3 linked regions of the Cricetulus griseus genome follow. The protein of the gene in region 3 interacts with the protein of the main gene of each other region in a biochemical or structural test. Links are inferred from orthologs where the notes say so. Each region holds a gene or a part of one and is shown on either strand. Other genes may lie near its edges.

Region 1 (3,749 bases), on a different chromosome or scaffold from region 3:
AAGCCCTTAGGGAATGAATACAAAGTCTATCTCCAATAAATGAACTAGAAAACCAACCTATCACTTTTCCATTAAGAGCAAGGAAATTGGAAAATATTTTGTCCACAAGAGAAAAATTGAAGGATGCAAAATTCATATGTACCCCTGCAAAATTTACTTCTGCTAACTATTAGCTGCACAGTGACCTCAAAATAAGCACTGTTATGAATTCAAACAGATGAGAGGCAATTTTGTTACTTCAGTTGGATCAGGCAATGCTTTTGTATTTATCAAATAAGCTCATAAAACAAAGGGACTTTTGAAGTACTCAGTAAAAGTCTACATTAAAAATTGTTTTTAATGTGTGACTCCTGCTTGCAGTTATGAAGGTTTGCCTTCCACCTACAAGTTGCCATTATCTCAAAGGTGAAATTTTAGCACATGGCTAAAATGTTCTATAGTTACAGCTTCATGATTCAGCATCAGTAATTCAGAGTGAGATCATAGGCAGTGGAAGGTGGTGTCATACTCTTTTGCCTGTGAAGGGGCGACCAGGGAATGGCATAAGCATATTGAATTTAGACTGTGGCTCCTGTGAGTACCACAATTTGTCTCTCAGCTCTTGCCTGATCAGAAGGTGCCCTCGGGAAAGATTTTAAGAATGGTAAATTTGGCTCATTAGGCATGTTGATCACCAGCTCCCCCCACCCACCTTATATGGAGTGGGCAGAAGTTTTATCAGCTTTTCGTGGAAAAGATTCCAACTTGGTACCGTGCCATCACCACACACCAGTGTGCTGGGTTTTCTATTTGGAGCTTCAAATTCTTGCACCCAACCAAAAATAAATCAAGCCAGCCATCAGGGCACCAAAAGAATACTACTGTGAAAAATCAGCATTGCCTGAAACTTAACATATAAACAACACTTCTGAAGCAAGTTTTGCGTGGCACATCCGGACACTTTAAAAATACCATCTGCTTACTAATAACAGCTACACCAGGGTGCATTAACCCTGGAAATAAATTGTAAAATCAGCCCCTTAACACAAACAACACGAGACGACCATCAAAAGATCTCCACAACTAGAAAAACAATTGGCAGGCTGTTTTCAGTACGAGCTGAGGACACTGGAACCACCGCAAAGCCCTCCTCACCAGATGGCTCCACCAACTCCCAGAGCTGGCTCAGGACCCCGCCAACCCGGTTTCTGCACCACTCTCATCCCTGGGGGCTTCCCTCCCGCGTAGCTCCGCCCCCTTCCGCTCAACTCTGCCTGGGCTGGTGGAGTTAGGGTCTGAGTGTCAAAGTCTGCTAATTTGCATAAGCCAATGGGTGCATTGCATGCAAATGAGGCGGGCCCTGATTGGCTGACGGCTAGCCCCATAACTCCGGAATCGGGGGCCTTTGTCCTCCAGTGGCCCGGAGGAAGCTGTGCAGTCCTCACCTACCGAGACTTAGGCGAGAAGCGGCGAAGCGGCGGGTGGGAGCCGAGCGAGCGCGGGGCTGGCGCCGCGCACTGGGGGGGGCAGGAGCAGCCCGCGCGCCGCGTGAGGGACTCGCACTTGCAATATGACTTTGGAGGAATTCTCGGCCGCAGAGCAGAAGACCGAAAGGTAAGTGTGCCTGCGGACTCTGTGGCCGCTGCCCCTCCCGCCGTCGGGGACCCGGCTGACCCACTCTCGCCCTGCCGCCCGCAGGATGGACACGGTGGGAGATGCCCTGGAGGAAGTGCTCAGCAAGGCGCGGAGTCAGCGCACCATCACCGTCGGCGTGTACGAGGCCGCCAAGTTGCTCAATGTGTAAGTGGTCCCGGCCGCCCGCGCCCCTGCCTCCCGCCCGCCCCCCCGCCCGCCGCCCGCCTCTACCCCGAGCTCCCTGGACAGTGTGCACTCACCGCTGCCCCGCTGTCCGCAGCGACCCCGACAACGTGGTACTGTGCCTGCTGGCTGCAGACGAGGACGACGACAGGGACGTGGCTCTGCAGATCCATTTTACCCTCATCCAGGCGTTCTGCTGCGAGAACGACATCAACATCCTGCGGGTCAGCAACCCGGGCCGGCTGGCTGAGCTGCTGCTGCTGGAGAGCGACGCGGGCCCGGCGGAGAGCGGGGGTGCCTCGCAGCCCCCTGACCTGCACTGCGTGCTGGTGACGGTAAGGGACCCGGGGCTGCAGCCCGGAATCTGTTGGGATAGACCTCGGCAGTGCTAGACGCTGATCTCGCGGGGGTTCTGATGGTACCGAGCGTGTCTAAGCTCGTGGGTGGCCTCCAGCGGCGGAAGATAGCCCTGTGAGTCAGCAGGCTGCCCAGCTACCTCTGCCTACCTCTGCACTACCTCGCGTGACTAATTCTCAGAGCAGGACAGATTAGATAAAGCCAAATAAATTCCCGGCTCACCCTTCATTAAGAAGTCAGCTTCATTCTTCATTTGCTCTCAAAGCTAAATATAGAAATAGAGTAGGAGACAGACCTTATTAATTCGCTGGAGATACTCTGGTGTGTACAGAGTGGAATTCTTTTCTCTGAACCTTTGTATTTGTTTAGATGAGCCCCCCCCCCCACGCACACACACACACAAACACACGCCCTTTAAAAATTTCTGGTTGAATAATGTTTTCAGAGAGAAATGTGCTGTCTTGGTCTTCTGTTTTTTTGTTTTTGTCCTTTCTCTGCCTTGACTGGTGTAGGCAAGTGGCACCCTGATTACTTTTGCTGCCAGTGAAAAGTGCCATTCATCACCAGGGAAGATAAGAGTGAAGCTAAGCTGCCTGCCCTGCAGCTTTCACATGGTGTGCGAGAATGTTTTCAGAGCTATTTTACTTATGACCCTACTAGGGTGCATGCTTGATAGGTTCAACTTATGAATGATAACCTCATGCAGAATGGTACAGATAATTATGCAAAACTCTGTGGCCCAGTGTGCATTACAGGTGTTTAGATCTTGCCAAATGCTACTTAACAGAATGCTCAGGTTTTGGCCCTTTCAAAAGTAGTACAATTAGTAGCATAAGCTGATGATTTTATGGAAAAGTAATTTTTCTAAATTTGTTCTTAGAACCCACATTCATCACAGTGGAAGGATCCTGCCTTAAGTCAACTTATTTGCTTTTGTCGGGAAAGTCGCTACATGGATCAGTGGGTTCCAGTGATTAATCTCCCCGAACGGTGATGGCATCTCAATGGAAATAACTGAACCAAATTGCACTGAAGTTTTGAAATACCTTTGTAGTTACTCAAGCAGTTACTCCCTACGCTGATGCAAGGATTACAGAAACTGATGTCAAGGGGCTGAGTGAGTTCAACTACATGGGGGCTAGGAGATGACTTTGCAGATGGACAGAGGTGAAAATAAAGAAGGAAGCTGTGTTGAAACAGAAATCTAAGTCAAAAGGGACAAAAACTACAAAGAACTGTGCAAGAAAGAAAACTGTTGATTTAGGATGGCTGAGTTACATTAAATAAGCCAAATATTGCTTTGTTGAAACCTTAAATGTGTAGCAATAGTTTGTTTTTTTTTTGTATTTGTTTTTTGGTTTTTTTGTTTGTTTGTTTTTTGATCTTTATGCCCTCAAGTAAAAGGAAAGTGAAAAGGATTAATTGTATTTTAAAGCTACAGGTTAATGTATTTTGATGAGATGTTAAATTCTCAGAAATTTTATTATAAATCGGACTAAGTTATTTTATGATATGAAAGGTTATTTATGATAAAGTTTTTGAAGCACAATATCTAAAATAAACTGGTATGGAATAATTGCATCATTTTCACTGTG
Region 2 (3,749 bases), on a different chromosome or scaffold from region 3:
TTCCCAGAGTGTAGAAAAATATTCACTTCATTAATCATATAGAAGATTTTCCATTTCCTCTTGCATGTTTTAAACTACATAACTCTTTCTAAAAAGATTTTCAGTTCAAAACCATAATGAGCATAAGCCTTATAAGAAGACAATACACAATTAATAGCCTAAGTGTGTATAAAGGCATAGGAATACCCTCCATAAAAACTGATTTGAAAGTGAAACTCTTTCATTTTTACCCATTCCAGGAATGACTTATCCATGTGTCCCCACCATCATGGTCTCTAAGGGAAGCACAGTTTATAAAACTGGAGAGAAATAATAGTCATGTTCTAAGCTAATGTATTTATTTGCTTTTATTAAAAAGGGAACATTTGTAATAGAATTGTATGAAATAATATACCTTGCAGAAAGAAAGAGTTCAGAAAAAATCTTGGGGGTGGGTATTTGTATTTTAGTAATTACACAAGTATGTGTATATACAAGAATTACAGGAAGAGGGCAGCCTAGTAGGACCATCTGTAGATTCCTATGGCTAGAACCAAACATACTTGGAAATGGAAAAGCTTTTTTTTTGTTTTGTTCTTGCTTTATATGTTAAATCAGACACAAGTCTTAACTTTCCTTTTGTCCATTAAGATACTCTCAGTCCATGATGAATTTTGTATGAAATACTTTGTAAAGTATAAAGACCATGATGGAACAATTTCTACCTATTCATTCAAGTGAAAGTGTCACACAGTAACAAACACCTTCCTTTTTACATTATCTTTCAAAGCATTTATTTATGGTGAGCTTTAAAGAGTCCTTAAATAATATTATGATGAGGCATCTTTTACATATTTTACATATCTGCTGATGCCTACCAAGACATTCCTATGCTGCCCCTGAGAGCAAAAGTATCACAGGCATACAACACAGAATAATGCTGGTTGTTAGTTTGTTTTGTTTTTAAGTCCATTTTAGTTCATTTATAAACAAAAGGCAGAGAAAGCACTCATAGTAAGAACACCAGCTTGGTATTATTACTTAAATAACAAGGTTATTCAGGAACACTTGAGTGTTAACTGGTTAAATACTTACTGCAAACCTGAACTTTAAAATGCAGTTAATTCAAAAGTAAGAGAAATCTGCTCTTTCAACTCTGTTCAAAACTTTTAAAATAAAACAGCCAGAAGTCCTAATGACTTCCTACGTGGCTTTTATACATCACTAGTTGCTATGACAGGATACACCACTGAGAACCATTACATATAATGTGGTTAGTGGCTACACTCCACAGAAAAAAAAAAAAACAAAAAACAAAAAACAAAAAAACAAAACAAAACAAAAAAACAAAAACAGAATACTAATCCCCTAAAGATGAACAAAGAGTCATTTTAAACAAATGCTGTATATTTAAATCTATTGAATGAGGATGTATTTCTAATGTTTGAACTATTAGTTTCAACTACAAGACACATTTACAAATAAGATGCAAACTATTTCCAATTTTATGTATAAGACCAAAAAGTGGCATATATTCTTCATTGCTTCTCTATACAGGCATTTACTGTGGGGTACCTCCTCTTTGCTACCACACAAAACCAACATGAAATTATTTTAAAGGTTCAAATTAAAATCTGTTTTTAAAAAAGTGAATGTTGAACTTAATTGGATTCTATCACACCACACACACACACACACACACACACACACACACACACTATGAAATAAGACAATCATTTGTTTTTAAAACTTCTCATTGTTTGAAAGCATAACATTGGTGGGGAAACCTTTCGATTAGGACAATATTATCTTGCAGGTTTGTCCAGACAGTATACTTTATCACATTTAAAGCTGTATAATTCATGAAACTTTTTTTTTCAGTAACCCATAATTGGATTTCCTTTTTTAATTACCATCTATGTGACAAAGCACTTAACTCTAACAGGGAGACTTGACTTCTAGTCAACATGCAAACAAGTCCTGAATAAATTAATCTCAATTATATTTTTTCCAGAGGAAATTACAGTCATCTCATCACCAGTCAAAATATCTAACTTTGATTTATTATGAACCAGTTTACCACGGATATAAATATTAATGATATCATTTCCATCCCTGTCCCACCCAGCCCTTCCTCCACAGCCCCTCTCACCCTCCCCCCCCTTAAGATTTATATTCTTTCATGGCTTTTTTGTTTGTCTGAAATCACTGTATCTCCTGGAAACTTTTAAAGTAAGCGTCAACATGGAAAAGAAAATAAAAAAAAAAAAGAAGAAAAAAGGTTAGGACCCATCTAGCAGGAGTGATGTCTTAGGTTATTCAGCTCATCTGGACCAGTCCTGGAATGTGGGTATAGAACGGGAGAATTGCAGGGAGGTCATTGGTAACATTACAAGAACTTCACTCGAAAATTCTCACCTTCTGGGCTGCTTTAGAAGGACTCTTGTTCTTGCTGCCTTTGGGTCTTCCCCTGGGTCTCTTGGGAGAGGGCTCACAGGTTGGCTCCTAATTGGAGGGAGGAAAGAAAAGCTGTTGTGGCTAGACCGGCAGAAAGAGAATGACCCTGGCTCTGCCTGTGTTTTCTGCCTGGGCCGCTTAACAAACCTGCTGGAAGTCATTCAGTTCATGCATAGTTGGATGATGGTGGCACAGCGTTTGCACAAGTGGAGGGTGGGAGGGACATAACCATAGTCTCATGTGCTCAAGGAGAAAACTACTTTGCATGTGAAAACGAGATTATATTTTGAAATCAAAATAATAGCGAAACCTGGAGGAGTTGCAATTTTCTAGAAAGTCCCATGTTTGCAAGGTACAAAGTTTACATGGCTGTGCACTTGGCAACTCACAGAAATAATAAACATTTTATAGGACTACCACTACCATTCTACTGGGATTTCAAACAACAGAACCCAACGTCATAGAGAGCTGGAAAGATAGCTGGATACACGGAAGGGATGGCTTCCAATCACTTCTCTATACCTGTTTCAGGTGCTTTAGAATTGAACCCACACATTCCGAGTGCAGTATTGGAGCGATTATCCAAACTCTTCAGCTCGGAATAATTCCATACCCCCTAAAATTTCCCAATAATTATGGTAGATCTGAGGTGGGAGGTTTTGCTTGAATTAACTAGATAATTGCTTCAATTCTCCACTTCCTTTTGAGAGGCAGGCATAGTCTCCAGTCGAAATTTAAATATCTTTTTTAAAAAATAAACATGTTGCGTTAGAGGGTAGAAAGAAAGAAAGAAAGAAAGAAAGAAAGAAAGAAAGAAAGAAAGAAAAAGAAAAAAGTTTCGTGGGGTGCAGTGGAAATAAAAGGGGGGAGATGGGTGAGGAATGTACCTGGAAGGAGAAATTGAACTGGCCAGGTCACCAGGTACATCACCGCTTTCCTTTATTGGGTGCTAGGCTAAATAGCCAATACTCAAGCAGTTAAGAAAATGTGATGATTGATACTCCGGGGATGCCGAACATCTCTCCGGTGAATCATCTACTCTCATTTCATTCATATTGCGTGCTTAAATGAGACTAATTACAATTCACGGAACTTCTCAATGGAAGCTCGCATTCTACTTAGCGTGGGGGAAGGTTTCTTGGAAGCGTCCATTAGATACTCGCGCCAGTGGGCACTTAGAGCAAACACATCGGAAACACATTTTTCTTTGTGAGCTCGGCCTTTACTCAAAGGTAAAAACTCCCAGTCACCTCCGGATCCCCTTGCGTTTTCTTTTAGACTTTTTTTTTTTTTTAAACTGGGGGGAGGTGCGA
Region 3 (3,749 bases):
TTAAGAATGTTTTGCACCAAGCATCACCAACAGAGTTATATAATCAATAAACCTATCTAGAAGCCACAGAGATAATCTCACACTAGATATAACTTATTTGAAACATCTTTGCTTATCCTAAATCAGTCTTAGAGACCAACTTTAAAAACAATGTTTACAAATGTACTTACTGTTGGTTGTACGGACATTTTCAATGTTGCCAGCGTTACTTTAATTGGACTGCCTTCATAGTTCATTGCTTCTGCCTCTACGATGTGTAATTCATCTTTTGCCCCTGCCCCTAAACTAACCTGTGAACAAAAAGAAAGATCCTTCAGTACCCAGTTGTTTTATAAACACCCCTTAAATTTTTTAATTAGCCTCTTCTCACTACTGATAACTAGTCCTCTCATATAATTACGAGATGCATAGACACAAAACACTGTATGTTCCTAAGAAAGCCAAACAACCAATAAAATATAGCCAACAGACTTAAAAAGATCACATCCTGCAGAGCCTTACTAGACAACTAATTATAACAGTGACTGTGGAAAAGACACCCAGTTCTTTGTTACCAGTACATATGTGAACTATTTTAAAGTTATAAAAATACTATTTTTCCATCAGTTAAGGAAGCACAAACTGACATAAATCCCCTCACTTAGATCCAAGTGGCTGAAATCTAATGGCTAATTAATTTCAAAGTTTAAGTACCGTTCTTAGTGACAACTGGTGTTCATTCTCATCATTATCCACCTTAAAGTGATAATCTTTGTCAGCTTTTAGTTCACAACCTGTAAAGAAAAAATAAAATAAATCTAGCAAGATGAACATCACAGTCCCAAACGACCATTAACTTCTACTCTTTTAACTTAAAAATGTTCTCTCCGTGGAATCTACTGTATAAGAAAGCCAATAAAAGTTCTACTTTTTCATAGTAACTCACGACCAATTAATGAGGCACCGTTACCATTTTTTCACAGAAAACCCAATGACCTAAAACTGGATTTTTGCATAGTGGCACCATACCATTATCTAGCACTATTTTTAAAAAACCCAACTTACCTACGTTCTAAAGGAAATTACTACAAATCAACAGTGGTTACACATGACCAGTAGGGACAGCTTAAACCCTTCATGCTTAGAGTACATTAAACATGTACTACTCATTCACGTAGGGGAAAGTGCTTTAAACACTCGGAATTTTGAAAAAATTGACTCGAGTCACTGAAAACCAAACTAATAGACTGTAAAACCGATAAGCTGAATGTGCAGTGACAGTGGGGTCCCCAGAAGCCGAGTTACCAAAGTGATCCCTTAATCTGCTAAACGCGGGAGGCACTTCTCTCTCTTCCCCGGCCCAATCAAAAAAAAAAGACCAGTTGTAGGGAAAAGGATAGTTTCGACTTAAGATTTCGTGGCCCTCTCTTAACATCAAGACCCTTCGACCATCAATATCGTCATCGGCAGCGTGGGGCTGACTCCACCTCTTGCAGAGGCACTAAAGGGTCTCTAAAAAAAAGTCACTACCATCACCGTGGATGCTACAAGATCTTAACAAAGACACGGACGCCACGCGCCACTTTACGCGTTTCCCGCCTAGCACTCCTAATTAAACCACAGGACCCGAAGGACCAGGGTTAAGAAGTGAGGAGAGCCCGGATGTAGAGCCCACACCCCCTCCCTACCCCCAACCACGTGGCAACCACGTGTTCCCAGGGGTTGCGGCCCCCTCAGCCGCAGGGAGCTTGGCCGGCCGAGTCCCTGTCAGCGGCGGAACCTCTCGGATGCACGGGGAGGAGGGGCCGAAGCCCCTGTAAAGCCCAGCGGACTGCACTTATACCGTCCCAACGAGGCGGCGCAGGCCGCGCTCCAGAGGCACCATTATCCCGGGACGCGCCTGGGGCCCAGCGCTGAATTTCAGCTGCCTGTTGCCAGGTCCTGAGGCCTTCTTCACGTATGAAGAGAAAGTGTCGTCACAGCCCCTGCTCGCGCCCCAAGCCAAGTTGGCACCCTCGGCCGACCGCCCTCTCAACGCCAGAGGCTCGAGGCTGGGCCGCTGCCGCCCCAAGCTACGGTCCCGCTCAGCGCCCGGGCCTCGGCTTTCTTCGGCTCCCGCGGCCCAGGCGGTTCCTCCCAGCCGTGCAAAGGCCTCCACCCACGCCGCGCTTGGCACACGCCAGGCCTCAACTGGACTCCCGCCGCCCCCCCAACCACCAGGCCCTGCCCAGGCCCTCCCCGCCAGGCAGTTACCGAAAAGGTAGTTCTGTGGCCTAAGAGGGCTCATGTCCATGTCCATCGAGTCTTCCATGAGGTGGAGACGCGCACTTCGGTATGCGAGATATCGGACGGAGGAAACTGCCTACTGCTCCTCAGAACAGACAAGCAGGACGGAATCACGCCAGGGAAAGGACGCGGGCTCGCCGCACGTATATATGGCCGCAGCAAATCTCGCGAGATCTGCCCTAGTCCCGCCTCCGCGAGCGTGCTCCGGATCCCCCACTTCCCGCACTGTCTCGCTCTTGCGCAAGCGCTGTCCTATCCCACGCCTCTCTACCTCCCCTCCCCACCTCTTCCAGGTGCTTGGCGGGCTCGCACTACGCACGCGCGTCCTCCCTCTGGCCCCGCCCCTCCAGCGCGGTTGCCCGAGCGCAGGCGCACTTTCCCTTTGTAACGCGCTCCAGCCCTCCGAAGCTACCACGTTTCGGCTTCTCCACGCGGGCCCTGCGCGGAGAGGCTGCGCAGCCCACCCTAAAAGATGGCGACTGCCGGCCGGGAACCAGCGGGCGACTCCCTTCGCTGTTCTTCGCCCTCCGGTTCTCGGTAGACCTGCAACAGGCATAATCTCAGGATTTGACCTCCTCGAAGGCTTGGTCTTATTTTATCCTTTTCCCATAGAGCTTCAGGAGCCAAAGGCAGGACAGACGGATCATTAGTAGAATGATTCTCTGCTTGCCACTTTGTCAGCCTTTTTTTTTTTTTTTTTTTTTTTTTTTGTGGTTTTTCCACACAGGGTTTCTCTGTAACAGCCCTGGTTGTCCTGGAACTCACAGGCTGGGTTCAAACTCCCAGGGATCCGCCTGTCTCTGCCTCCCGAGTGTTGCGATTAAAGGCATTCGTCACCACCGCCCGGCATCAGCCATACTTTTTATACCTCTTTTCTGAGGCAGCATCTCCAAAGTCTTAAGTTCTCAGCTTTACGTCATTCGAGGGCCAAAGAGCACCTTTCTAAAAGTTTAGAGGTGTGTGCAGAATTGAGAACACGCAGGTCATCCTTATCATTCCAAATGAAGGCATATGACTTCTAAGAAATACAGGAGCCTTGATTAGAATCTTTGGCTGGGAAATAGCATTTTAAACTGCGTCCCGACAAACATCCCTCAACATTGGGTGCGTACTGAGAGCAGCCCTAATCTTTTTATCTCAACATAGCTAGCAAATGAAAAGGTTACTGGGAGGAATGTGAGTAATGGTATTCATGCCCCCAGACTCTTTACTCCAGAGATGGTCCAATTGGGAAGACCAGTTGAGTATAAAACGTATGAGCAGATTATTAACCAAATCCTAAATTTGGGGGGGAAAAAATCAGCCTCAAGATGTGAATGGGGCCCAGTGAATTTCCACTTTACAACTACTAGAGTAAATCCTGAAACTTGGAAGTACTGTCTATGTAAGCAACTGAGATAAACGGGAAAAGGGAAAACCACAAGTGAGCAGTCTGGCCATTCAAAATTCGAAGGCTTCTAGTCTAGGAGGGAGAATGTTCTTAG

Evidence for each region.
Region 1: the proteins of nucleophosmin (region 3) and Gadd45a form a complex in vitro, tested with the Homo sapiens proteins (2 studies listed by BioGRID). The link is inferred for Cricetulus griseus from reciprocal best matches to the Homo sapiens genes NPM1 and GADD45A.
Region 2: the proteins of nucleophosmin (region 3) and Hmga2 interact in far-western blotting, tested with the Homo sapiens proteins (2 studies listed by BioGRID). The link is inferred for Cricetulus griseus from reciprocal best matches to the Homo sapiens genes NPM1 and HMGA2.

The regions. Positions count from the first base shown.
Region 1 is NC_048601.1:76,185,471-76,189,219, forward strand, and holds Gadd45a (growth arrest and DNA damage-inducible protein GADD45 alpha), read left to right. Parts: upstream 1-1,380; 5' UTR 1,381-1,549; coding exon 1,550-1,593; intron 1,594-1,677; coding exon 1,678-1,779; intron 1,780-1,874; exon of another isoform or gene 1,875-1,894; coding exon 1,895-2,132; intron 2,133-3,034; coding exon 3,035-3,148; 3' UTR 3,149-3,738; downstream 3,739-3,749. UniProt on the Homo sapiens protein: In T-cells, functions as a regulator of p38 MAPKs by inhibiting p88 phosphorylation and activity.
Region 2 is NW_023276806.1:136,301,373-136,305,121, reverse strand, and holds the start of Hmga2 (high mobility group protein HMGI-C), read right to left. Parts: upstream 2,846-3,749; 5' UTR 2,704-2,845; coding exon 2,584-2,703; intron 2,485-2,583; coding exon 2,398-2,484; intron 1-2,397.
Region 3 is NC_048600.1:48,346,859-48,350,607, forward strand, and holds the start of nucleophosmin, read right to left. Parts: upstream 2,407-3,749; 5' UTR 2,291-2,406; coding exon 2,233-2,290; intron 774-2,232; coding exon 694-773; intron 291-693; coding exon 171-290; intron 1-170. UniProt on the Homo sapiens protein: Involved in diverse cellular processes such as ribosome biogenesis, centrosome duplication, protein chaperoning, histone assembly, cell proliferation, and regulation of tumor suppressors p53/TP53 and ARF.